Pelodiscus sinensis: one gene and its partners. The protein of the gene in region 3 interacts with the protein of the main gene of each other region in a pairwise test. Links are inferred from orthologs where the notes say so. Each region holds a gene or a part of one and is shown on either strand. Other genes may lie near its edges. The genes, in order: MELTF, ABHD17A and HPGDS.

Region 1 (7,474 bases), on a different chromosome or scaffold from region 3:
AAGAAGCATTGATTTCTTACATGAGATCGTCAATGTTCTTGCAGAAATTCAAGCAGCCAGTGTAGACAGCTGGCAGGTTTTTCCACAAAAGCAGGTGCTTTTGCGGAAAAACTTGCCAGTCTAGACACAGCCGAAGAGTCCTGTGTCAGGGCACTATAGCTTGTTTCGGGAGATCAAGCAGTTCACGGAAGCTCAGGTGACCTTGGGAGAACAAGGATGCACATTGTCTTCTTCATTAATCCATGTACAAGTTCATGATAGTCATTTTCCTTCATTGTGGAAGCTTCTAGCATCCCACAGTCAAAGACTCCACTTTTTCTATTAAATGCAAAATTATTGTATTTCCAACTATTGCTCAGTGCCTTAGAACATATGGCTAAGTGCTATTCTCCAATAGCCGTGTTCCTGTTTCCGATACAGTGGTCTGTGAAGATAAGACTTCATTGTGCAAGGTATACGATCACTTTTTACTCTCATTAATTTGTGAGATGAAAAATAAACGGCCTCTGCCTAGCTCCACATTTTTTTAGCGTATGTAATGAAATAGCATGAAGCCACCTCTTTCTTCCTCACTCAGCTTACGGGTGCTTAGTGGAAATTTCTCTCTTGCTAAAATGCATCTTTTCTCTCAGCATCTGGCCAGGTGCCTTCTTGTCATAGAGGATGCCTTTTAGTCTGCCAGAGGGAGTTAACCCATTTGAGGTGGAGCTAGGAACATAGAGAGGACTTGTGGTTTGAGTCCTCTGCTACAGTTGGCCAAGCATGTGTTAAAACAGCAAGCTAGTCTCTGAACTGTTTACTCAGTTTCCTGGTGCTCCACAGAGGTACACTAAATTTGAGATGGTGGGGGCTGGTAACCACGATTTGAAATACATTCCTAGGCCCTATGATAGCATAGTCTCAGCATCAGACTGTCAAACAACCTATCAACTGCTTTAGCAACACAACAATACTGGTGTTGTGCAGTAGTGGGGTAATGTACTGCACTTTACAAAAGGATCAGGAAAATGTTAAGGGACATTAATATTCTGTGGGAGTTTCAACAGGAGCTCTCTCAATGAGGAAAAAAAACAAGATCATTTTACACATACACAAGAGCTTCTCTTTTTCCTGAAAGATTTCAAAGTGCTTTAGAGATAGCGAGCCAGCAGGCATCTGATCAGTCAGTCAAACCTTTGGACTCCTGGACATTCCAGACAGAGCTGTTGACATTTATTTCTCTCTCTCTGCCCTGTGTTCATTGACTGTTTGCTCCGACCCTACCTTCCCCTCTCCGCTCCCTCCAGTCTCTTTACTATAAATTCATTCCATACTTGTCCCCTCCCTTCCCTTTAACTGATCTCTTCCTAAGTACACCCCACCACCCTTCAAAGAGGAAACAAAATTGTGGACCTAACATGCCATTTACCACTGCTCCATGTTCACTCTGTGTGTTCTATACCTCTTGCTCCCAGTGTCTCGCTTGGCTATTTAGACAATATTGTCTCCTTGTACTCTGCCTTCTGTCTGTTCCATCTATTGTTGTCTTTTGTCTTGTACTTAGATTGTAAGCTCTCTGGAAAGGGAGTTTTTTGACCTGTTAGTACAGCGCCTAGCACAACGGGGCCCTGGTTCATGACGCGGATGCTTAGGGTCTACAATGACAAAAAGAATAATAAAAATGAATCACCTCAGGAGTGGGAGAAAAGCAACACAAATCCTGATGCATAACAAAAAAGGTTGGGGAATATTAGGGCATCGCAGATCCACATAATCTATGCTATGTCCCAGTTTTTAAACAGTCCCTCGGAGAAAAGTGTGCCAGATGCCCCAGAGATCCCATGTGTTATTAAGGGTAGATCATATGGTTGCAACATTTCTGCGACTGAACCTCTTGGTGCCAACTCTCCTGCTTCATACCCATGAGCTCTGCTTAGCAAGTGCAACTGAGAGAGTCTGATCAGGAGTCTTTACACACTTCGGGGACCAGATCAACAAGTAGCAGCCATGACACTAGGTAGCCTTTTTAAAATTGGAGAATTTCTTCAACAGGAACAGAGCAGTGTTATTCCCCCCTGAAAACTGCTGGCCCTCCCAAAAGCCAACTCTCCTTCCAGCCAACGTAGGCATTTCAGTCCATTGTCCAACACTTGCAGGCCCTTCCTGAGTTCACATATCCCACCTGGCAGAGATTTCCATGGATAAGTATGAATTGTTCAGTCCTTGGGTTTCCCGTTGTCTCTGGTCCCTCCTCTGACATGGGACTATTTCAGTCAGTTTTTAGCACCACATTCATTCCACCCCCACACTGTGTGACACCTCCTCATGTTTCATGCTCTGTCCTACAAGCAGCTTTTTAATGCTTCTGCACTCACTACAGTGCAAAGTACAGAGGGAGGCCAAGGCACATGATGGAACAATAAAATACACTACAGCAAATGCCCACTTTATTAAGTAGCACAATCACCTACAAAAAATGGGCCATGTGAAGCTGTAATATTCATGCAGAGCAGGTTGGTCCAAGATCCCCTCTGAAATAGCCAGCCAGAATAAACAGCATGGGACCAACAGAAGATACAGAATCAATGTGGCCAAATATGTGATACAAATGAAAGGGAGCCAATAATGATTTGTTTCCCCTAACTCAACTGCCTGTTCTCCCACCACGTCCCGCTCACCTGCAGAAACACAGTGATTATGAAATTATTTTCATTCTGCTTGTGCTGTATCATCTCACAGATTGGTCAGTCCCAGAGGTACCAAACAGCAGCATGAACATTGTCTCTTGAGATTAGCAGGCACTTACCTGTGTGAAAGAAGCAGAAACAATAAGCCATGCTCTGGAAGCTCATGATGAGGTCTGTGTGTATGCAGTGCCTTCAGAATTCCAGCAATCACTACTTTTATGGAGCACACTTTTCACTCTGCCCCTTTCCAGACCACGCCCTGTTGGAAACCAAGATTCTCACATGGCCACGTGTGCACTGCAAAACAACAGTTACTCTCAGTCACTCCACCACACAGTCTGTTCTAAACAGAGAGGAAAATCTGCATCCGTTTACATGAATTGCAGTCTTCAAACAGAAAGCCAAACTCCAAGCACAAAATACCTGGGACAGTGGAGATTGTGACCTGTCATTGTTTTAGCACCACCTGCTGGGTCAAATTGGTAATAACATGTTAACAATTTCCCTTGCAACAAACCCTGTCGCCAACTTTGTCCACATATCTACTCTGGTGACACCATCACTGGACCTAACCATGTCAGTTATATGATCAAGGACTCATCTTCCTGTTCATCCAGCACACAAACATGATTTGTGATTTATGCCATCATGTGTCAGCAGTGTCCCTCTGCAATGTATATTGGCCAGACTGCTCAGGCACTTCGCCAAAGAATCAATGCTCACAAATCAGACATCCGACATCTTCACAAAGAAAAACTTGTTAGTCCACATTTTAATCTACCTGGGCATTCCCTTGAAGGCCTCACAATGTGCATCTTACTTCAAAGAGACTAACACAGATTACAGAAACTTCAGAACTTTCATTCATGCTTACATTGGACACGGTACGAATGGACCTTAATAAAGATGCTAGTTACCTTACATATTACAAATACAGCTTCTCCACTTATTGATAATCCTAGTAACTTCAGATTAGCCACTCATTGACTTAAAATAAACTATTTCCTCCTTCCCTCTCTCTACCTTCTGTTCTAAAATCTGATTTGTTAGTTTATAATGTATTCACTTTCTTCATTGTATTCCTTTGTTATATATGGTCATGCCAGTTCTCTTTCAGAATATGATCTGAAGAAGTGGTCTGGTTCATGAAAGCTCATCACCTAATAAACTAATAAACCTAATAAGCTATCTTGTTAAAGTGCTACATATTTTTTCCTTTTGTTTTACGATAATCATGAGTGTGGAATAGGATCATGAAATAAAGTGTAGGGAGATCACAGAAAGCCTCCCTCTTCCTCCAGAGCAGACACACACACATGGAGCAGCTCTGAGCTTAAAACAGCGGCAGCTGTGTGCCTGAGGGTCCTGGCAGAGTGGTCCGTGGGCAGGTGGCTTGGCAGGCCCACTCTGGCCAGCAAATTGTATCTTGCCCACCCCTGGTCTAGTCTGTAGCTCACTGGTTAGTATATGCTCCAGAGACATGGCAAATCCTTATTCAACTCCTTTCTTCTCAGGTGGAAGGGAACTTGAACTGGGATTCTCCCACATCCAGGTGAGCACCCTAACCACTGGATTAAAATTATTCCTCCCCTAGGCTTCTTGCAAAAACAGCATAGGTGCCTAATTCTAAGAGCAGGGTTAACAACTGGGAAACCCAAGCAAATGGAGCAGCCCAGTTTTAGGTGCCAAACTGCCCAAGCAGTACAGGGTTTAGGACAACTCTTACCTTGGCATCTCTCATTGGCTGGGCTAGGCAGGGTGCCACTTAACATATTGGCTTGTGTGAATCCCACTCTCAGCCAATACCTCACCCCCTTCATTGCATAGAGTGCCCTGGTGCCTAACTCAAACCTCATGAATCAAGTTATTTTCTAGCTGCCTAAATATTTTTGTGAATATAATCCAGTGTTGCTACCATCTGATTAAGAATAAACACAACTAATAAACAAAATTTAGCACAAGTAAGACGTCTTTAAGCACCCTGTAGGTAGGTGGCACGTGATGTGCTGAAGAAACGTCCCATGTAATAGCAAATTGATTAAGAAAATTAGAAGAGAATTCTCTCTCCTTTCTGCAAGATGATTATAGAAAGAATCTAATTCACTATAAAATTGCATAGAATGTTATCCAGTTAATCAATATTGATATAACCCTTCAGAGTTGTGCTGTCAACAACAAGAGGAGCTGGGTTTGGAGGGTTCCTTGTGAATGCTTAAATACCATCTGCTCAACCTGCTACTCAGAAACCTGGGAACTAGCTGTACTACCTGTTGCTCCCTAGATAGCAATACTTCCCCACTTACATACACTGATTCCACAGGACTTAAACTTTATGAAAGGGGGATGACACTGAACTTGAGAGGGCCGGCAGTCATTAATTTAAACACACTCCCTGCCCTTCCCCAGGAGTAGGTTACAACCTACATCTTTTTCTTGAAGTTGAGTGGGGCTGGTACATTCTAGTCACTTTCCTCTTCTCTTCCTCATAGTTTGTTATACTGGGTTGGTGGGAGTCCAAGGATTCTAGCAAGTCAGTGCAGTCTGCAGCTTTACCATCGAAGGCGATTTCAGCTCTGTTGTGTAGGGAAGCCCACATAGGTAATTCAGTGTCACCCATTCCTTCAAAGCCACCTCTGCACCATCCAATGGCTTGTAAGGCACAAAATTTGTATCTGCATCTGTAAAAATGAGCTGTAGATAGCCACATCTGAGGATATAGTGGAGAGCTGCAAATTTGCAGAGTTGTATACTCATCACAGGCTACTTCATAGTTTTGGGGTAAAACCTGTTTTGGAGTGCTGGTCTCCCTTCTCAGGGGCAGACTCTTGGTTGCATAGGGAGATTGGGGGGAAGCCGGGCTCAGCCACTGCTCTGGGTTCCAGTCCAGGGACCCTACGGCAGTGGCAACAGGCAAGGTTATTGCCACTCCCAATCTGGCAGCTTTTCCTTGGGCTGCTTCCCCAAATGAGCCCTCCCAGCACCTTTCCTCTAGTTCCTGCGCCTCAGTCCTCAGCTCTTACACACACCACTCTGTCAGCCGACGGTCAGGGCAGAGAGAGAGAGAGAGAGAGAGAGAGAGAGAGAGAGAGAAGGTTTAATGTCTGTGTCTTTACCACTAGGACCGGGGTCCCGTTGCGGAGGGCAGCCAACAGGCTGACAGACGCCCCAGAGTTTACAAGGAGAGCTTACTACATCTCAGATTTCAGCTGCTAGGATACAGGATCCCTTCGCAGCGGGCACTCTAGGGAAGACTGAGAGATGCCCCAATGGATCTGTCCCCTGGGAGGGACACGAACCAAAACGCCCCAGCTCTTCCTATTCCTGTCCCTTATGACTGGCTGAAGTTCTTTTAAATTGTGCTTGGTTCTGTTACAGCAACTGAAGGAGTCAGGTTAAAGCTTAAACAGTTACAGGTTTATTAAAGAAGCCTATAAATCATATGGTTACAATGGCTACTGCTCTATTTCTTAACTGCTAGCAAATATAGATCTTAAAAACGGTTACAAAGAAAATATAGAAAATAGAAATAATGGTACCAAGTGACAGCTTAATCTTTAAAGAGCTCTAAATCTATGTGTACACTTAAGACAAAGGGCACATCCAAGTACAATTTTTACCCCCTTCTGTACCTCTCGACTCCAGTGGGTCAAGCCAGGGCCGGTCCCTCAATTCCTAGGAAAGACGAATACGAGGTGAGCATCCCAGTGGAACCTCGGGAGGTCAAACACCTAACCCAATGAACAGATAGATGGTAGATTGACACTCAGAGTAAGTGTGCTGCTGGACCCATCTTTATACCCATAGGGGCCCGTATCCTCTTTCTTATCTAAGATGCCAAATTGTACTGGTCTGTCTTTGTGGCGCCAGTTCTTACAAGGGAGTTGTGAACTTAATTTACACTTGTAAGAGAGAGAACTAAATTGGAAGTACTGGGCATTCTTTTCTCAGTGGGAGAGTCCTCTCCCAGGGACGACTGTGTGTGATCGTATCAACATAGGTGCTAGCCAGGGCAGTTCTCGCAGCCTCGAGGTCAGCTTATTGCCTTAATCGCTCTTTTCTCATATCTATGTTTTCAGCTTCTCAGGATCAGATGAGCCAGCATAGACTATGCTGATTTTATTGCTCCTTCTCTGTCCTGTATGCTTCAGGAACCTCAGAGAGGCAAATAACATGTGTGTGTGTGTCTGTCTACACACACTTCCTCCTTTCAGCCCTTCACTTTTTCCTTCCCCCTTCCTTACCTGGGCAGAACCTTTTAAAGCAGCTCCATAGGGCTTAATTGGCTGCAGGGGTCTAATTTGCCTGTAGCTTCCAGCAGGCTCTAATTGTCCCCAGGTGCCTACATGATAATGCTGCACTAGGCTTGGCTCTGTTAACTCCAGAAAGAGAACGTTGGTCACCCAAGCCACAGCATGCCTTTCCTCCATTAGTGTGTGCCAGCCAGCTGGTCTGGGTCTGTCACAACTCTTATCCACAAAAACAGGCTATGAGCATCCACATCTGTGGAAGCAGATACTGGCGGATATAAAGCACAATCTGCGGATTTGCAAGGCTCTTCCTGTTCTTAGCATCACATTAGCCACATTATATTAACTTCAGGTGGAATAAATAGGCCAAAGGTGTTTACATAACCTGTTATGGTCCAACACTAATGTGTATTAAGTAGTTTTGGGGTTTGGTAAACCAAAACCTCAGCCTGCTAAGTACCAGGCAAATATACCATTAAATGTTTTTTAAAAAATTAATAATAAAAATTTAAGATATTACAGCACTAAAGATTACATGTCCCCCCCGTCCCCCCGGTTTCT
Region 2 (7,734 bases), on a different chromosome or scaffold from region 3:
CCAACATATACCCCACACCAAAAAAACCACACACCGCACATCTACACAATGCACCCAGAACCACACATACACCCAGACTGACAACAACCACATGCAAGCTGTACCATACATCTATGGAAGCCACACTCTGACCAATGCACACCCATTGGTACACACTTACTGCACCTCAAACCCCACACAGCACACATCAGCCAATGCCCACCAAGGCCCTGATCCTGCAGTCTGATGACTGCCGGATTCCCTGCCCCCACCCACTCAGGCTCAGCTCAGATGCTGGAACACAGGGCTAGCATATTGCAGGTGTGATGCCCATACGCACGGTCGCGGCACCACATTCACTCCCGCAATTCCCCAATGCCCAACACGCCGGCGGGAATTCTGCGGCACACGCTCCCAGCCAGGAGGCGGAACTCAACGCACAGCCAACTAATGTGGTTCCTGCAAGTCAGGGCAGAACCTCCCAACGGAGGAATGTTCCACTAGCCTAGACCCCGAGGAATTCCTCTCCAGCTGCTTCCCTCCTTCTGCAAGGCTGGGAAAGCAGAGGAAAGGGTGGAGGGAGCGCGAGGCCTGTGCCATTCAGCATGAAACAGGGGGCTTATATGGAAATATTTCTCTGCCGAATAACTGCCCATTCCCCCCCCCGGGATCCCAACATGAATGGATTCTCCCGCTCCCCCAGTGTGGTGCTTGTTTTACATTCAGGAGCAAATTCTAGCCTCACCCCAGTGTAAATCCCCAGTTGCTGTGCAGTCGGGGGAGTTCCTCCAGATTTAGGCCTGTGCATGCAAGAGCAGCGCATTGGGCCTCTGATGTGACCTCCCCCTGCCTCTCAACACAAGCTGCCAGGGGGCTGGAGGAAGATGGAAAATCATCTATCCCCCTCCCCCGCACTGCTCCCCAAAACAACAGGTCCCAATATCAGCATCTCACTTCCATTCTTCCCCCCTGCTGGGAGAGGTTTGCTCTGTGCAGCTGCTAGACAGGAGATTCCACCCCCCAGCAGAGAGATACAACCTAGAGAACCACACCTGTCCACGCAGAGATACGCGTCCGCAACAGAGACCTTAGACGCACGTGCGGCGGCACGACTTGTCCGCAGGCCACGCATGCATTGCTTCACCGGACGCGTGTGCCGACCCACCAGTACACCACAGGCAGCGTAGAGACCACGCTCAACCACTAACCTGTGCTTGTGTTTTGCAGACACATGTGCCAGAATACACGGTCCTGCACCCAGCCACCAGGATCCCAGGCACACGCCTAAGTCTGCTGCACACAGGCAGGACAGAACGGCAGCATCCACACTCCAGGCTCACCCCCAGATCTGCCCATACCTCAGAAATGCAGGATAAACCCTCCACCCCCACCTCCTCCTGACATGTCTCCATACAGCCACTGTGTGTTACACTCCCATACCTGGCTGTGCTAGACACACACACACACACACACTTATCTAGACGGCAGGCCCAACACATGTCAGTGTCTGTGCTACAGAAACACTTATCTGCGTCCCCAGACACACCCGGAGGGTGACACTAAGCGGGGGAAGGACTCAGCCGGGGGGAATCCAGCCAGCCAATGGGCTCCCCCCCCGCCGCCACACGCACACACTCCGGTGCTGGGGACGGGCCCGCACCCCGCACGTCAGGAGCCAGCGAGACACCCCGCCCCCCCCCCCCCCACACACACACACATCCTGCAGGCGCGTCGGGGCTGCTGAGCAGGGCAACTTCGGAGCGGTCGGGGCGGGGGGAACCGGGAGCTCCCCGGATGGGGGGGGGGCGGGGGGAGAAGGGAAAATCAGCTGCTAATGCTCGGGGGGGGGGGCGAGGTGACTGCAGCTGGGGGAGGCGCGGAAGAGGGGGGGGGCTGAATGTGCTCCCAGATGGGATGGGGCAGCGAGGGGCGGGGCGGGGGACTGGCAGTGGAAGGGGGGCTGCCGGGGGCCGGACCGGGGGAGCTGGGCAGGCCCGGGGATTGTAGCGGACCGGACCGGTTGCACAGGGCTGGTCCAGGGGCTGCAGGGGGCCGATCCGGGGTTTGCAGGGGGGAGGGCTGCAGGGCCGGGGGCTCCCGGGGAGGGACTGCTGGGCAGGCCGGGAGGTGGGGGGGGGGCTGCAAGGGGCCGGGCCGGGAGCTGGGGGGGCTGCAGGGGGGGACTGCAGGGCCGGGGGCTCCCGGGGAGGGGCTGCTGGACAGGCCGGGAGCTGGGGGGGGACTGCAAGGGGCCGGGCCGGGAGCTGGGGGGGGGGGCTGCAAGGGGCCGGGCCGGGAGCTGGGGGGGGGGCTGCAAGGGGCCGGGCCGGGAGCTGGGGGGGGGGGGCTGCAAGGGGCCGGGCCGGGAGCTGGGGGGGGGGCTGCAAGGGGCCGGGCCGGGAGCTGGGGGGGGGGCTGCAAGGGGCCGGGCCGGGGGCTGGGGGGGGGGGCTGCAAGGGGCCGGGCCGGGAGCTGGGGGGGGGGCTGCAAGGGGCCGGGCCGGGGGCTGGGGGGGGGGCTGCAAGGGGCCGGGCCGGGAGCTGGGGGGGGGGCTGCAAGGGGCCGGGCCGGGAGCTGGGGGGGGGCTGCAAGGGGCCGGGCCGGGAGCTGGGGGGGGGGGGCTGCAAGGGGCCGGGCCGGGAGCTGGGGGGGGGCTGCAAGGGGCCGGGCCGGGAGCTGGGGGGGGGGGGCTGCAAGGGGCCGGGCCGGGAGCTGGGGGGGGGGGCTGCAAGGGGCCGGGCCGGGAGCTGGGGGGGGCTGCAAGGGGCCGGGCCGGGGGCTGGGGGGGGCTGCAGGGGCGGGTACCTGGGTCTCGTGTCGGTTGCAATCTCCCGAGCGGGCGGCAGGTCAGGGCTGGTGCCGGGCCCCGCTCCGAGCCGAGCCGGTGCCGGGCCCGCTGGCGCGCTGAGCAGCTGGAGCCGGGCGCTGCCTCCCGCATCCCCCCCGGGACTCCTCCCGGCCGGGCCCGGCGCGCGGCGCTGCTGCTCCCGGACGCTCCAGGCTCCTGGGCCGGGGCAGCCCGAGTCTCCGCCCCGCGCTGCGAGCGGCCAGTGGCGGATGTGACAGCAGCGCCGCCCGCACTGGAAGTGACGCCTCCTCCGGAGTCCTGCTGCCCGCAAAGCCCCCGGGAAGGAGGAGCAGGAACCTGGCGCAAAGACGTGGCGGGGAGGAGAGAGCCCGGGCGGGGACCGCGCGCCCTGGAACGACCCCCCCCCCCCGCAGGGACTGCATGCGCTGCAATGCCCCCCCCCACAGGCACTGAATGCTCCCCATGCTGCAGCGACCCCCCCCCCCCGGGAATTGCATGCTCTACGCGCTGCAATGGACTCTCCACAGGGACTGCATGCTCCATGCGCTGCAATGACCCCCCCCCCCACAGGCACTGAATGCTCCCCATGCTGCAGCGACCCCCCCCAGGAATTGCATGCTCTACGCGCTGCAATGGACTCTCCACAGGGACTGCATGCTCCATGCGCTGCAACCACACCCCCCCCTGTAGAGATTGCATGTTCGCTGGTCTGCAACACCCCCACCCACGGGGACTGCATGTGCTGCAACAACCTCCCCCCCCCCCCCCGCAGGGACTGCATGTGCTGCAACAACCCCCCCCCCCCCCCCCCCCCCCGCAGGGACTGCATGCTGCTCAGGCCGCAACGACCCAGCCTCCGCGCAGGGACTGCATGCTCCACATGCTGCAGCAACTCCCCCCACAGGGACTTCATGCTCCATTGGCTACAACCACACCTCCCCCTGCAGAGATTGCATGTTCGCTGGTCTGCAACACCCCCACCCACAGGAACTGCATGATGCATGTGCTGCAACCCTCCTCCCCCGCAGGGACTGCATCTTGCACCAGCTGCAGTGATCCCTCTCTGCAATGTATGCAACCAGAGGTGCACGCTTCGTGCAGTTTGTGTATGTTGGATGCATAACTAATAGGCTGCAGCAATTCCTCCCTCCCCCACCCCTCAGCAGTGTTTGCATGGCTGCTATTTCCGTGCTTAATTGGCGGAACTATTTACCCCTGCCTCCGTTTGCAAGCCCAAGCTTGCTTCATTTGCAGCACCCAACCCCCCTGTTGCCTGCAAGCTGTGTGCATGCTTTATCCTAGGATCCCTCCCCCCGCCTGTGACTGGAAGCTGTGCAAAATGGGGTGGTGGGCTACTGTACTGACCTTTTCCCCATTAGGGATGTTAAATATCGGTTAATCGAATAGTCGATTAACCTCTTGAATTCTTATTGGTTATGTGACTATTCTATAGGCCCCAGGGGCGGGGCCAGCAGCCAGTGTGCTCCAGGCTCACGCCTGAGGAGCCCCCTGCTGCTCCATGCTGCTGCCTCTGAATCAGAGGCAGCAGCGCGACGTGCCAGGCAGGAGCTGGTCTGCAAGGGGAACTGATTTAAAAAGTGATACAGAGGCAGCAGTGCAAGGTGGCAGCAGCCCCTGTCCAGGGGAAGGAGGGGGAAAGAGGTCTCAGCTCCCAGACCTGGCACAAGCTGGAACTGAGCAGGGCTGCTCACTGGCTCCTACTACACTTTAAATGCAGAGCCGCAGCAGGGGTAGGTCCCGGACCTGGTGCAAGCCAGAACTGAGCCGGGCTGCTGGCCAGCCTGCTAAAACATGTACTGGCAAAGGGGAGGGGGGGGCAGATGGGTGTAGTCTATGGCATTAACCAATAGAGTTGCCAGATGCTTTCACAAAAAAATTCCAAACATGGCAGGGAAAAAAATTGGTTGAGCAAAAAAAAAGAGACCAAACTTGTTGAGTGGGGGGGAGGGGGAGCTCACTCCCTGCTCCCCCTGCCAGACGCAGCAGGGCAAAAATGTCCCTGCCAGCCTTCTGCCTGAGAAAAACAGAAAACACCGGACATTGCACCGGACGTATCCAGTGTTTTCTGTATTTTTTTACCGGATTGAAGACGCAATTACCGGACTGTCTGGGTGAAAACCGGGCGCCTGGCAACCCTATTAACTGATCAGCTTTTGCTCATCGGTTAATCAAGTTTACTCTTCCATCCCTACTCCCCATTGCCTTATTTGCAGGCTGGGAACAAGATTGTGCAGGAATGTGGGCGACAGAAGCTGGAGTCTGCTTCAATTGCTTTAAAAACTCCTCAAGAAGAGGCCACTCAGCTCCGGCAGGGAGCAGAAAAGGCTCCAGCATGATGGGCACCATCCGGTGTGCGAGGCAGGGGACCCCCATTACAAGCCCACCAGCTGCATCCCCCGGGCCATGGCTGGCACTATCCAGCCAGCATCCCTGGTGAACCAGGGATAAAATGACACACAGCAACTTTCTGAAGCTTTTTATCTGTGGAGCTCACGGCGCTTTACAGAATGGGAAACTGAGGCGGGCAGGTGCATGTCAGCCAGGGCTAGAATGTAGGGAGGTGTCTGGGTTCTCTTCCTGATGCTGCTGGGTGACTTTGGACCAGTAGATTCTCTGCCTCCCCAGTACGTTCTACTTAGGGTGTGACTTGAGGACAGGTACTGTCCCTCACTACCTGGGTGTATAGCCGCCTGTAGGCGCTACCCTCACACAAATAACAGCTCTCCCAATACCCTCCCACCCGTACTGCCTTTTGCCCCAGTGTCAATCAGTTTAAATACACCCCTGGGCTACGTCTAGACTGGCATGATTTTCCACAAATGCTTTTAATGGAAAAGTTTTTCCGTTAAAAGCATTTGCGGAAAAGAGTGTCTAGATTGGCACGGATGCTTTTCCGCAAAAGCACTTTTTGCAGAAAAGCGTCCGTACCAATCTAGATGCGGATTTCCACAAGAAAGCCCCGATCGCCATTTTAGCTGTCTACACTGGCCCTCTTGCGCAAATACATTTCTGGAAAAGGGCTTTTGCCGGAACGGGAACGTCAAAGCATTTGCGCAAGAAGCGCTGATTTCGGACAGTAGAACGTCAGTGCTTTTGCGCAAAATCAAGCGGCCAGTGTAGACAGCTGGCAAGTTTTTGCGTAAAAGCAGTCGCTTTTGCGGAAAAACTTGCCAGTCTAGACGCAGCCCTGGAGTTTACCTGCTGCGGCTCCTCTTTTCAAAGAGGCCCGAAGCGATGCCCACGGGAGCTGCCGGCTCCTGGCCCACCCAGCCTGTCTCAGATGCCTCAGTCCTAATCCTCCTGCCAAGCTCCCAGCACCGCAGATGGCAGGAGGTCCCTTCCGGCTGGAGCACAAGGCAACGGTGACTCTCCTGCAGCCCCCAGCTCTGATCCCACTGGGAGAGGACCGGCTGGATCTGCCGCAAAGCCAGTTCAGGACTTTGCCTGCTGAGCCCTGCCTGGCTCCAGGCACTTCCTGGGCTAAGGACGAGGGCAGTAAAGCCTAGTGGGTCAGCCATTCTCAAAGCCGGGGAAACTGGCGCACAGCGGGGCAGTCTCCTCGGTCCCAGGCCAATGCTGTACCCACTGGGCTGTGCTGGGGAACATCAACACAACTGAAATTTGGAGAAAACTGAATTTGTTTTGCGTTTTACAGCGTTTTATTATTTTTGTTCTTTTTACACCCAAAAATGTCATCGCCCGCCCAGCTATGATGAAGTTGTTTAAACAAATGTGATGCAACGGTAGAAAAACCTTGTGTGTGTCTGAAAACTGTAGGTTCCGGGGGTACTTATATTTTTTTAAAAAAGGGTACTTTCTAAGAAGAGGTTGAGACACACTGCATTAGGCTTCTCTTCTGGCCTTACGGTCGCTGACTCCTGCCCCATCTCCGGCTACGTTCATTTCATCAACCAGCCCCCTTCTAACCTTGCGCCCGCAGCGCAGCCATGGACACCTGTGCTGGGTAAGCCTCTTGCAGGGTTCACCATCTCCGCCCCCACCCCACCTGTGCGTCCTTCCCTCTTGGAATGAGCTTCCCCAGAGGCCAGGGCAGAAGGAGAATTAAGCCTGACGGGGATTAGAGAGTTCTGTGGGCAGTAAAAATAAACAAGGGGGAAGGGAGGGGACGGAGAGAGCAGAGCAGCATACTAGGCAGACAGGACTCCTGAGTTCTAGTCCCAGCACTGAGAGGGAGAGGGAGAGAGTGGTTAGAGCAGGGAACCTGTCTCTTGCTGTGAGGGGGGGGGCTACCCCATCTCCTCCCTGGGCATCAGCTTCCCCAGCTTTAAAGCTAGAGGGATAAGGAGGGAGCCCTCTCTGTAGAGCGTCAGCTGAAACAAACCACACAGCGGTGGAGGATTAACACACAGGATGTGGCTCTCCCATGCATCTCAGCCCCCACCTCCAGCCTCCTCCCTTCCCACCAGAGGTAGCTGAGGCATCAGACCAGCTTCTGCCCGGGGAGAACGAGGCTGCAGAGGGGGTCTGTGATGCTGGCAGGGATTCGGAAAACGAGCCCAGGGAGTGGAGAGGAGATTGAACAGGTGAGCCCTGAACTCCTCGAATTCCAGCTCCCTCCCATAGGCCAAAAAGCGGTTTGAGGGCCAGCCGTGTCAAGGAGGCATCGTTTGGATCGAGTCTGAGCCCGTTCAACCTGGGCAAGAGAATTTCACGTTCTGGCCTGCGTCCCCCTCCCGGGGCTTTCCTGCTTCCACATGCCCCACGGCCAGAAGCCCCGCGCAGAGCGGATGGCCCACCAGCTGTTTTAGCAGCAAGCTCTCCTGAGAGCGTTTGGACAGCCTGGAACTCAGCCAGATCCGAGCAGCCCAGCACCAAGCCCACAGCGGCGCCTCCCAGCGCGGTTCAAAGTCCTGCTGCCAATCGCCAAGTGCTGAAGCTCTTCAACGAATGGCTGGATGGTGCCT
Region 3 (8,329 bases):
GAGCGTGTGAGTGAACCATCTTTTAGTTAGTCAGTCAGGGAATTTGTTTGGTGATTTTATTACCTGCTGCATATTAAACCTGTGGAGGGATTTACCACCTTCTCCCACTTGGGAGTCCTTTGGGCTGTACTGGACCCAGTCAGCCCCACTGCTAAACCACTGCAGAGACGAATTTTGTGGTCATAAGTCATCAAGGGCCCCAACAAAGTACGTGTACCAACAGGACACTGACCTTACAGTTGCTGGGCACCGGTGACCCTAAAAATAGTGTTCTACCCTGTTCTGTTATTTTTGTCTCCTGTTTAATATAATTGTGTTTATTATAGTGTATGTGTTTGTGTTATTTTCTGGGAGTCTCCAACTATCTGGCAAATAAAATAAATTAATGGAGATTGCCTATCTCCTAGAACTGGAAGGGACCTTGAAAGGTCATTGAGTGCAGTCCCCTGCCTTCACAGAAGGACCAAGTACCATCCCTGACAAATTTTTGCCCCATGTAAGGATTGAATTCACAACCCTGGGTTTAGCAGGCCAATGCTCAAATCACTGAGCTATCTCTCCCCCCTATAGAGGGACTCCCTCGGTTAGAATATTCCGCCCAAGCTGCCCTGGTGACCCTGCCAGGAAGGAGTGAGGGGGGTGGAGGCACCGCCAAATAAATCCATTGGAAAAAATAAAGTTGAGTGGGTGGCGGGATCCAGAAGAACCCAGACCTGTCCACCAAAACCTGTAAGCAGATTGGCCTTAAAGAAGGTAACCAGGTGGAGAGGGGGCGCTACATATATAGTATAATATAGTATATATTTGTGAGAATTTGTCTCTGCATCTGTGTGTCTGAATGTTCAAGAACTACTCCTAAACAATAAAGAGCTAAAACCACTAAATTCCTCTTATGATAACTTAAAGCAACATAAGGGTTTGGTTGCACCAGGAAAATGGGATGTACCTGGAACAGGAGTGCTTCTCATAAAACCATATAGCAAAGAGACAGAATCACCCAGTCTGGGACTGCCTCAGCCCTGAGCCTCCCACCAGCCAGACTGAAGCTCCCCCCCTTGATTCATATGGGAACATTGCTGGCTGTTTTCCTTCATCAGGGAGTGAGGAGGAAAGTGCACCATTTGCTGCATTCCTCACTCTGGCTGTGTTTACACTACACCACTCTGTTGGCAAAGGGATGTAAATTAGACGTATCGAAAGTACAAATGAAGCCGGGATTTAAATATCACATGCTTCATTTGCATAATGGTGGCCGCTGCTTTTTTTCGAAACGGGGTTTTTGAAAAAAACCGGCAGTTTAGACGTAGCCTCTGACTGGGGATTACAGGGGACAGGTGAACTTGGATCTGCCCTGGCCAGGGGATATGAACCCCTCTCCCAATTCTCTCTGCTGGACCTACAGTGGCCATGGACAGGTGCTTCTCACCTGGCATGGAACTGCTATGAGGAGTTAGAGCTGGGGTAGTCCTCTCTCCCTGGGGGCAGCCTGTATATTGAACCCCTCATCCCAGCCCCAACCCAGAGCAATGATTTTAATGAATCACATACATATTCACTCAGCTGAAGCATGAACCTTAAACTAGTCATTTTTTCCTGGAAATATGAAACTAAACTTATTGTACAGAACCACTTTGTAGGTGTTATCTACTGTGTGTTTAGTTTGAAAGACATCTTTCTCCCCATATAACATCTGAGATAAAAATATAATTTAAGTGTTATGTTTTGCTGTACACAAAGAGGAACTGCATATTTTAAATATATAGATATATTTTATTTTAGATTACGAACAAGAAAAATAATGAATAATCTCCAGGTGAGAAGTGAGTAAGTACCTCATTTGCAAAAGTTTCAGCAAGTAAATCAGTACAAAATGGCTGCTGACACTGCAGAGTTTTCAGAAATGTAAAACTGGAGTGCACAGAAAGCAATGGCAGGATATTTCTGGCTAAGGATATGCAATGTTTTTTGTGTTAAATTGCACAATAAAGTTATTGCTATAAAATGAAAGTGGCTATTAGTGGAGGACATTTGCTCATGTGGATTTTGTGCACAGGTGTATTTGTTGAATCGAGGTAGGTGTCAGATAAAAGTCAGGGCAAATATTTACAAATGACGTAGAACATTAAAAAAAATCTATTTACATTCTGAAATAACAATGGCTGAATTGCAAAGAAAAGAAACACGGCTAACATAAATTATATTTTCTATTTGTCTTTCTCCATAATAATTCTGCATTGGATACAAGTCTGTGTGGTTGGATGAACGACGAGAGGGGACGGCGTAGAAAACAATCAGTATGAAGCCCAAAGGTACTGCTTAGTGTTGTTTAATAGTCAGCTAATTCCTTTGACATTAACCTGATTTTGGGCTGGTTACATGAAGAGGTGCTGGAACCAGTGGTGTGGCAGCACCTCTGTCTTGAACTGATTTCCATCATGTACAGGGTTTACAAATATGTTCAATGGATTTCAGCAACGCTATTGTACAAATTATTCCAGCACTCTGTTTATACAGATGAAGGTCAGCTTTTATTTATAAAAGAATATTATTTTGATTTCATAAAAGGCTCAGAAACAACTTATTTCAGAATGGGAGTTGCTCTCTCAGGCTGATGTGTTATTTTTCTGTTTAAATGTGTCTGTCTCTTCTACAGTATCTCTCTAACTCTTATTAGACAAAAAGCATCGAGACTATCAAAATGGATCTATACAAATAGCCCCCGTTCCTCCTCATTTAACTGATGCTATCTCCCTGAGCAGGCTGTCACATTGCCTTTTGGCACTAACTACAGTTCATAAATTTAGATTGTCCAGGCAGTTCAGTGCAATATGCAGTTAAAAGAAGCCTAAAGGCAGAAGAGCTGGTATACTGCAGTTATGTTTGAGATACACTTACAAGCTAATAGATATATAGGAACCATTGCACATAACTAATTAGTATACCCGACTCTAGCTAGCACGATTAATCCCTCAGTTCTGTGTTGGATCAAATTCCCAAAACTGCAAAAATGATACATGTTAAATACCTGCTGTATGGCAGGAAAATATAGCTCCTAGCAGTAATGTATTTAAAGGGGGAAGAATAAGACTGGAAAAGGAAAACTGAAAAGAAGAGAGAGAAGTCAGTATTTCTGTCATATTCAATTCTTAGATATCACTCACTTCGATTGCAGTAATGTCTAGTCAGTGTAATCCTTCCTTCCACGAACAGGAATTTCTCTGAATGCTAATCTGGTTTGAGCGGGGGTTATATATCACTGTATGAATATTCAGACCACTCCCAGTACTTCCAACTGTGCAATCATGAGCTTCTTTACACATGCTCACATATGGAACACATTTAAAGAGTAGCAGACACAGATCATTTCCTCAGCTAAAGATATCACATACATAATAGTCCAACAGAATTCATGGTTGAGAGCTGTCAGCCTTTTCATTTAAAGTTTAACTGTAGGAAATATAAAAAACTAGGTCAGAGTGCAACAAAGATCGCAATAAAACCATATCTTATTGCTGTAAAAAGTTTAGAAGCCATGAATATTCTGTCTCACATTATCTGCAAATTAGGCAAATCCCTCCAGTATCTTCTCTAATTATGCAATGATTCGTTATATTACTGCAGCCATATTAGAAGCAGGGGTGGGCACTGAAAAGAAATAAAAATTAATAAATACAATTCAAAAGTTTTATAAGCCACCATGAAGTGCTTTTGGTACATTTCTCTTATACCAGTGCAATAAAAGTCTAAGAAAACGTTCATAAATCTGCACCAGTTCAATCTGACTAATTGCTTCTGAATTTTATGCATGCACAGAAGCATAAAACAGATGTTTTTACTTATTGGAAGTGGATGGCCAGGCTGATTTAGACATATAAACACTAGCTCAGACTTAATTTTAACCTAACATTTTTCACCTATGATAGTTTATTTACTAGTGACCATTAGGAGACTTCCACCCACTTAAGTTTAACTTGCATTCTGTTGCAATTCAGGTAGATCAAACTATATGTACAAAGAATTGGTCGTCTTCTGTTAAAATGTCCCAGAGTTTAGATCATTAGGGACGGAAGGGAGGGGGTAAATGCAGCTGTCTCTCAAGGCTAGCTCCTCAGCTGACATTAACTAGCATTAATCATTTGAGTCAGTGGAGTCACAATAATTTATACTGGCTGAGAATCTGATCCCTTTCACTTGCCATAGGCTTGTGCCTTAGAGAAGCCATTTCAGGCTCACTGTGTCTTACTTTGTAACTTGGGTGTACTAACAATACCTTACCGGGGAGGGAGGCGAAGGAGGGTGCTGCTTTGTTTATAAAAATTGCTTTCTGATCCTTGGATTACAAGAATGTCAAATAATTTTAAATGCTAATTATTATTTATTACTATTTATTGTGATGATGATAGAGCAAGAAATAGAATCTTCTCCACTGGTCCCCTACAGCATAGTTTAGTATTCACCAGGAATTGCACCGAGCTGCTATCAGCATTGCTCCTCCTCCTGTTACCATGAACAGTATGTGCTGAAAGTTCTTGTTCATTTTTCTGGCAACTTAATCTTTAAATAGCTTGTTCAACAGAAGATTAAAAGGAAGGGACAGTCTGGTATTGTTTACTGTATATTTGTGTTTCTCAAGTTGAAAGGGACTGCTGATGTTGGCCAAAATTTCAGCAGCATGTTTGGAAGGACATTCCTCTAGCTCTATTTTGCCTCCAGAGGGCAGATAAGGCCTTGTCAGCACAGTAGCTTGCTGCGGTTTAGGTAAAAGGATGCAACCCCACTTATTCCAGTTCTCATTATTTTATCTTAAACCTGTTCCTGATCATCTTAACAAAAATAAGCCACATTCTCCACCAAGCTGCCTTAGGTGTATCTCCATTATGTAAGCAGTATAGTAATCCAATCTGAGGTGAATTGTTCAGTTCAAAGTCCTCCAACCCTGACCATTGTAGTTATATTGGGTCTAAAAATTGTTGCTTTTGAGCCATTATTTACAGTTCCTGTGCACACCACAGTTTCTATCACACATTCAGAGCCCAGGTTTCCATTATTGTTATCTGCCCAAATCTAAGCAAAATCTCACGGCTACCCCCTGCGCCACCAGTTTGGTGTCAGCCTATTTTTACTTCTTCAATTTGGTGTCAGCCTATTTTCTCAAACTGGATGAGGAATGATCTTTGTGTACTTGTGCGGCTCTGTCCTTGTTGGCCTTGAAATTATAACCCCTCTTTTTGTGACCAGTCTTTTCACATACCACCAGCCAGGTGAACTGATTCCCCTATCTTCTACATTTTTGCAAACCAGTTTGATTTTTACTAAAGAAATGTGACTATTTTATAGCACTTTCAAGATACCATTAATTGAATTAGAACCTCTTGTCTCTGATTTCTATTAGCAGAGCTCATTTGGAACATAATACAACAGAGCCACCAGGTGATATCTGCGGTAAGAAAAGGCATAAAACCTACGACAGCCAGAGGTTGAGGCCTAATTAATATATGTAAATGTTGATCAGCTTTCTTCACGGGGACAGAGGACAAGACTAACCAGGGCACCTTCATGAAGGATGTGCTAATTCTTATGGCAAGCAGCACTGATCATCTGCCACGTTGGTGATGAACGCTATAGAAATTATTCTAATGTCTGCACTACCTCTCTTCCCTCCTCACTGTCACTATTACAACCTCTTACAGGAAAGAGGAGCTTGATACAGTCAGGCTTCACTGTGAAGGGCTTCTCTACACAAAGTTTTTGCCAGTTGCATAATAAACCTTAATTTTGGCATTTCTTAATTTCTGAATGCTTGACTTGACAACTTTCTGTAGCTGAGTAACCAAACATACAGGCTACGTCTAGACTGGCATGATTTTCGGGAAATGCTTTTAAGGAAAAGTTTTCTGTTAAAAGCATTTTCGGAAAAGAGCGTCTAGATTGGCACAGACGCTTTTCCGCAAAAGCACTTTTTGCGGAAAATCATCCGTGGCCAATCTAGACGCGATTTTGTGCAAAAAAGCCCCGATCGCCATTTTTGCGATCGGGGCTTTTTTGCGCAAAACAAATCTCAGCTGTCTACACTGGCCCTTTTGCGCAAAAGGAAGTTTTGCGCAAAAGGAAGTTTTGCCCAAACGGGAGCAGCATAGTATTTCTGCAAAAAGCACTGATTTCTAACAGTAGGACGTCAGTGCTTTTGCGGAAATTCAAGCGGCCAGTGTAGACAGCTGGCAAGGTTTCCGGAAAAGCGGCTGATTTTCCGGAAAAACTGGCCAGTCTAGACACAGTCACAGTGATCTAACTTCAGGCTGGGTGACAGTTTTCAGCCAAAACTTTGGTTTTTTTATACAAAAAATACAGATTAGGGTCAAATAATGGTATTTTGTTAATTTGTATTATTTTTGTATTTTTTAAGCAACTTGTGATGATCAACAGAAAAAAAGTAAAATTGGAAATGTCCAAACAGTTCCTGCAGAACTGTCCAAAATAAAATATTTGGAAATTTTGGGGATAGATTTGGGTGCCATTCAGAGAACCAAGGAGCTAGAGTATCTCTGGTAACCTCTGGCCCTGTGGTTTGGATGCTCACCCAGGATGTGGGAAATCCAGCTCTGGAGCAGGGACTTTGAACCCCTCTTTGCACCCTTCCGCTGAGTGTGCTGTCCCTCAACCTAAACAGTTGGCTTATTCTGGACCCTTAGCCCATTCTGGACCCTCAGCCTGGATCCTAAGCCTATTCTGGACCAGATCTCTCCCATTCAAGCTGTCTACTTTGTATAAATAATTAAATAATCAATATTTATTGGACCAGAGAAAGGACACTCTAGCCTGGTGGTTAGTTCACGTATTGCAGAGTAGCCAGGAACTCATTGTTTCCAGTCCCATTCATTTACATCTGGGCATATTTATTTATACCAAGTGGAACAAATTCAACAGGAAAGATTGAGAGAGCTTTTCTCCAGAATATCCTATTGTCTGGGAGTCAGGCTGTGTCATACAACTGGAGAGAAAAGGAAGGGGTTAATGTCCCTATTCCAAAGCAGGGATTTTAACATGGGTCTTTCATGTCCCAGATGAGTGCCCAAATCATGTGGCCAAATGCTGGAAGGGGACCACTGCCACCTCAGTTTTGTGAATCTGGCCTTTCATTTCCTTTAGGTTTGTTAAAACACACAAAACAACGTTTAATTTTATCTCCTAAAGACTTGTCTCCAACTTCTTTTGTGAGGCAGTATCTTTAATTGGACAGCTGCTGTTGGTGAGAGATGCAAACGTTTGAATCCCACATAGCTCTTCTTTATCAGACCAGGTACTCCCAGTGTCGCAGCATTGTGTAAGGGACCATTTAAGTTAAAGTTGCCCATTAAAACCTCTGCAAAGTTAGGACAAAAATCAGGGAATTGCGGGTTACAGATTATTGTAATAAATCGTATGTCCCGAGTCTCTATTCAGTCCATTCTTTTAGTGTCGAGTAGAGTAGTGAATTTAAGCTTCCTTGCTCATCTTTTGAAAGCATCGTATACATTTTATTTTGAGGATGAGAACTTGATAAATCAGATATAGAATGATCATTTTGTTCATCCAGTCTATATTGACTTCACCTATGTTTTAGTCCAGAGGGCAGGGTGGGGAGAACTCCAGGGCACCAGCCACATGCAATTATTTATACAAAGTAGACAGCTGGATTTCCCACATCCTGGGTGAGCATCGAAACCACAGGGCCAGAGGTTACTAGGGATACTCTATCTCCTTGGTTCTCCCAGACTGTGGGAGCTGCAGGAAGTTGAGTGAGCCATCTATTTTTGGGATAGATTTGGGTGCCACTTCCCAGAGCTCCCATTGGCTGACAACAGTGAACCACAGCCACGTGGGGCTCTGTGCCTGCTGCTTCTCTGATTAACAAACTGGTGGCCCGCCAGCACCTAACCCTGACCAGCCATGTGCGGTTGGCATGTCGGAGGTTCTCTGCATCCGTTTTAGTGTATATAATCATGTTCATGCTTCAAGAACCTATCAATACCTTGCACAGGAGACCTGCAAAAGTAGAACATTCTCCTCCACATACACCATTTTGAAATACCAGTGGATTAATGGAGAGCTTCATGATGCAGTCTTACAAGTACAGTAATACTCCCATTAACTTCATTGGGATTATTTGGACGAATAAACATTGCACAGGATACTAAGGGTTTTCTTCAGGATCATGAAGTAGATTCATCATTCTGAAGAAAAAAAATCCCTTTCCCTGATAGATTCTGATCAGGTCCAGTCCAAGTGATAGCTGCTTAATTTATTTGAGGACAATAAAGCAACTATACTAGATTCCTGAAACTGGAATGAT

Evidence for each region.
Region 1: the proteins of HPGDS (region 3) and MELTF interact in binary tests that used the Homo sapiens proteins (3 or more experiments, as listed by UniProt). The two-hybrid records come from large-scale screens. The link is inferred for Pelodiscus sinensis from reciprocal best matches to the Homo sapiens genes HPGDS and MELTF.
Region 2: the proteins of HPGDS (region 3) and ABHD17A interact in binary tests that used the Homo sapiens proteins (3 or more experiments, as listed by UniProt). The two-hybrid records come from large-scale screens. The link is inferred for Pelodiscus sinensis from reciprocal best matches to the Homo sapiens genes HPGDS and ABHD17A.

Annotation. Positions count from the first base shown.
Region 1 is NC_134720.1:55,816,753-55,824,226, reverse strand, and holds the start of MELTF (melanotransferrin), read right to left. Parts: upstream 3,099-7,474; 5' UTR 2,832-3,098; coding exon 2,786-2,831; intron 1-2,785. UniProt on the Homo sapiens protein: Involved in iron cellular uptake. Seems to be internalized and then recycled back to the cell membrane. Binds a single atom of iron per subunit. Could also bind zinc.
Region 2 is NC_134729.1:28,056,126-28,063,859, reverse strand, and holds the start of ABHD17A (alpha/beta hydrolase domain-containing protein 17A), read right to left. Parts: upstream 3,075-7,734; 5' UTR 2,785-3,074; intron 451-2,784; exon of another isoform or gene 320-450; intron 225-319; exon of another isoform or gene 203-224; intron 1-202. UniProt on the Homo sapiens protein: Hydrolyzes fatty acids from S-acylated cysteine residues in proteins. Has depalmitoylating activity towards NRAS. Has depalmitoylating activity towards DLG4/PSD95. May have depalmitoylating activity towards MAP6.
Region 3 is NC_134715.1:19,156,025-19,164,353, forward strand, and holds the start of HPGDS (hematopoietic prostaglandin D synthase), read right to left. Parts: upstream 3,280-8,329; 5' UTR 3,162-3,279; intron 1-3,161. UniProt on the Homo sapiens protein: Bifunctional enzyme which catalyzes both the conversion of PGH2 to PGD2, a prostaglandin involved in smooth muscle contraction/relaxation and a potent inhibitor of platelet aggregation, and the conjugation of glutathione with a wide range of aryl halides and organic isothiocyanates.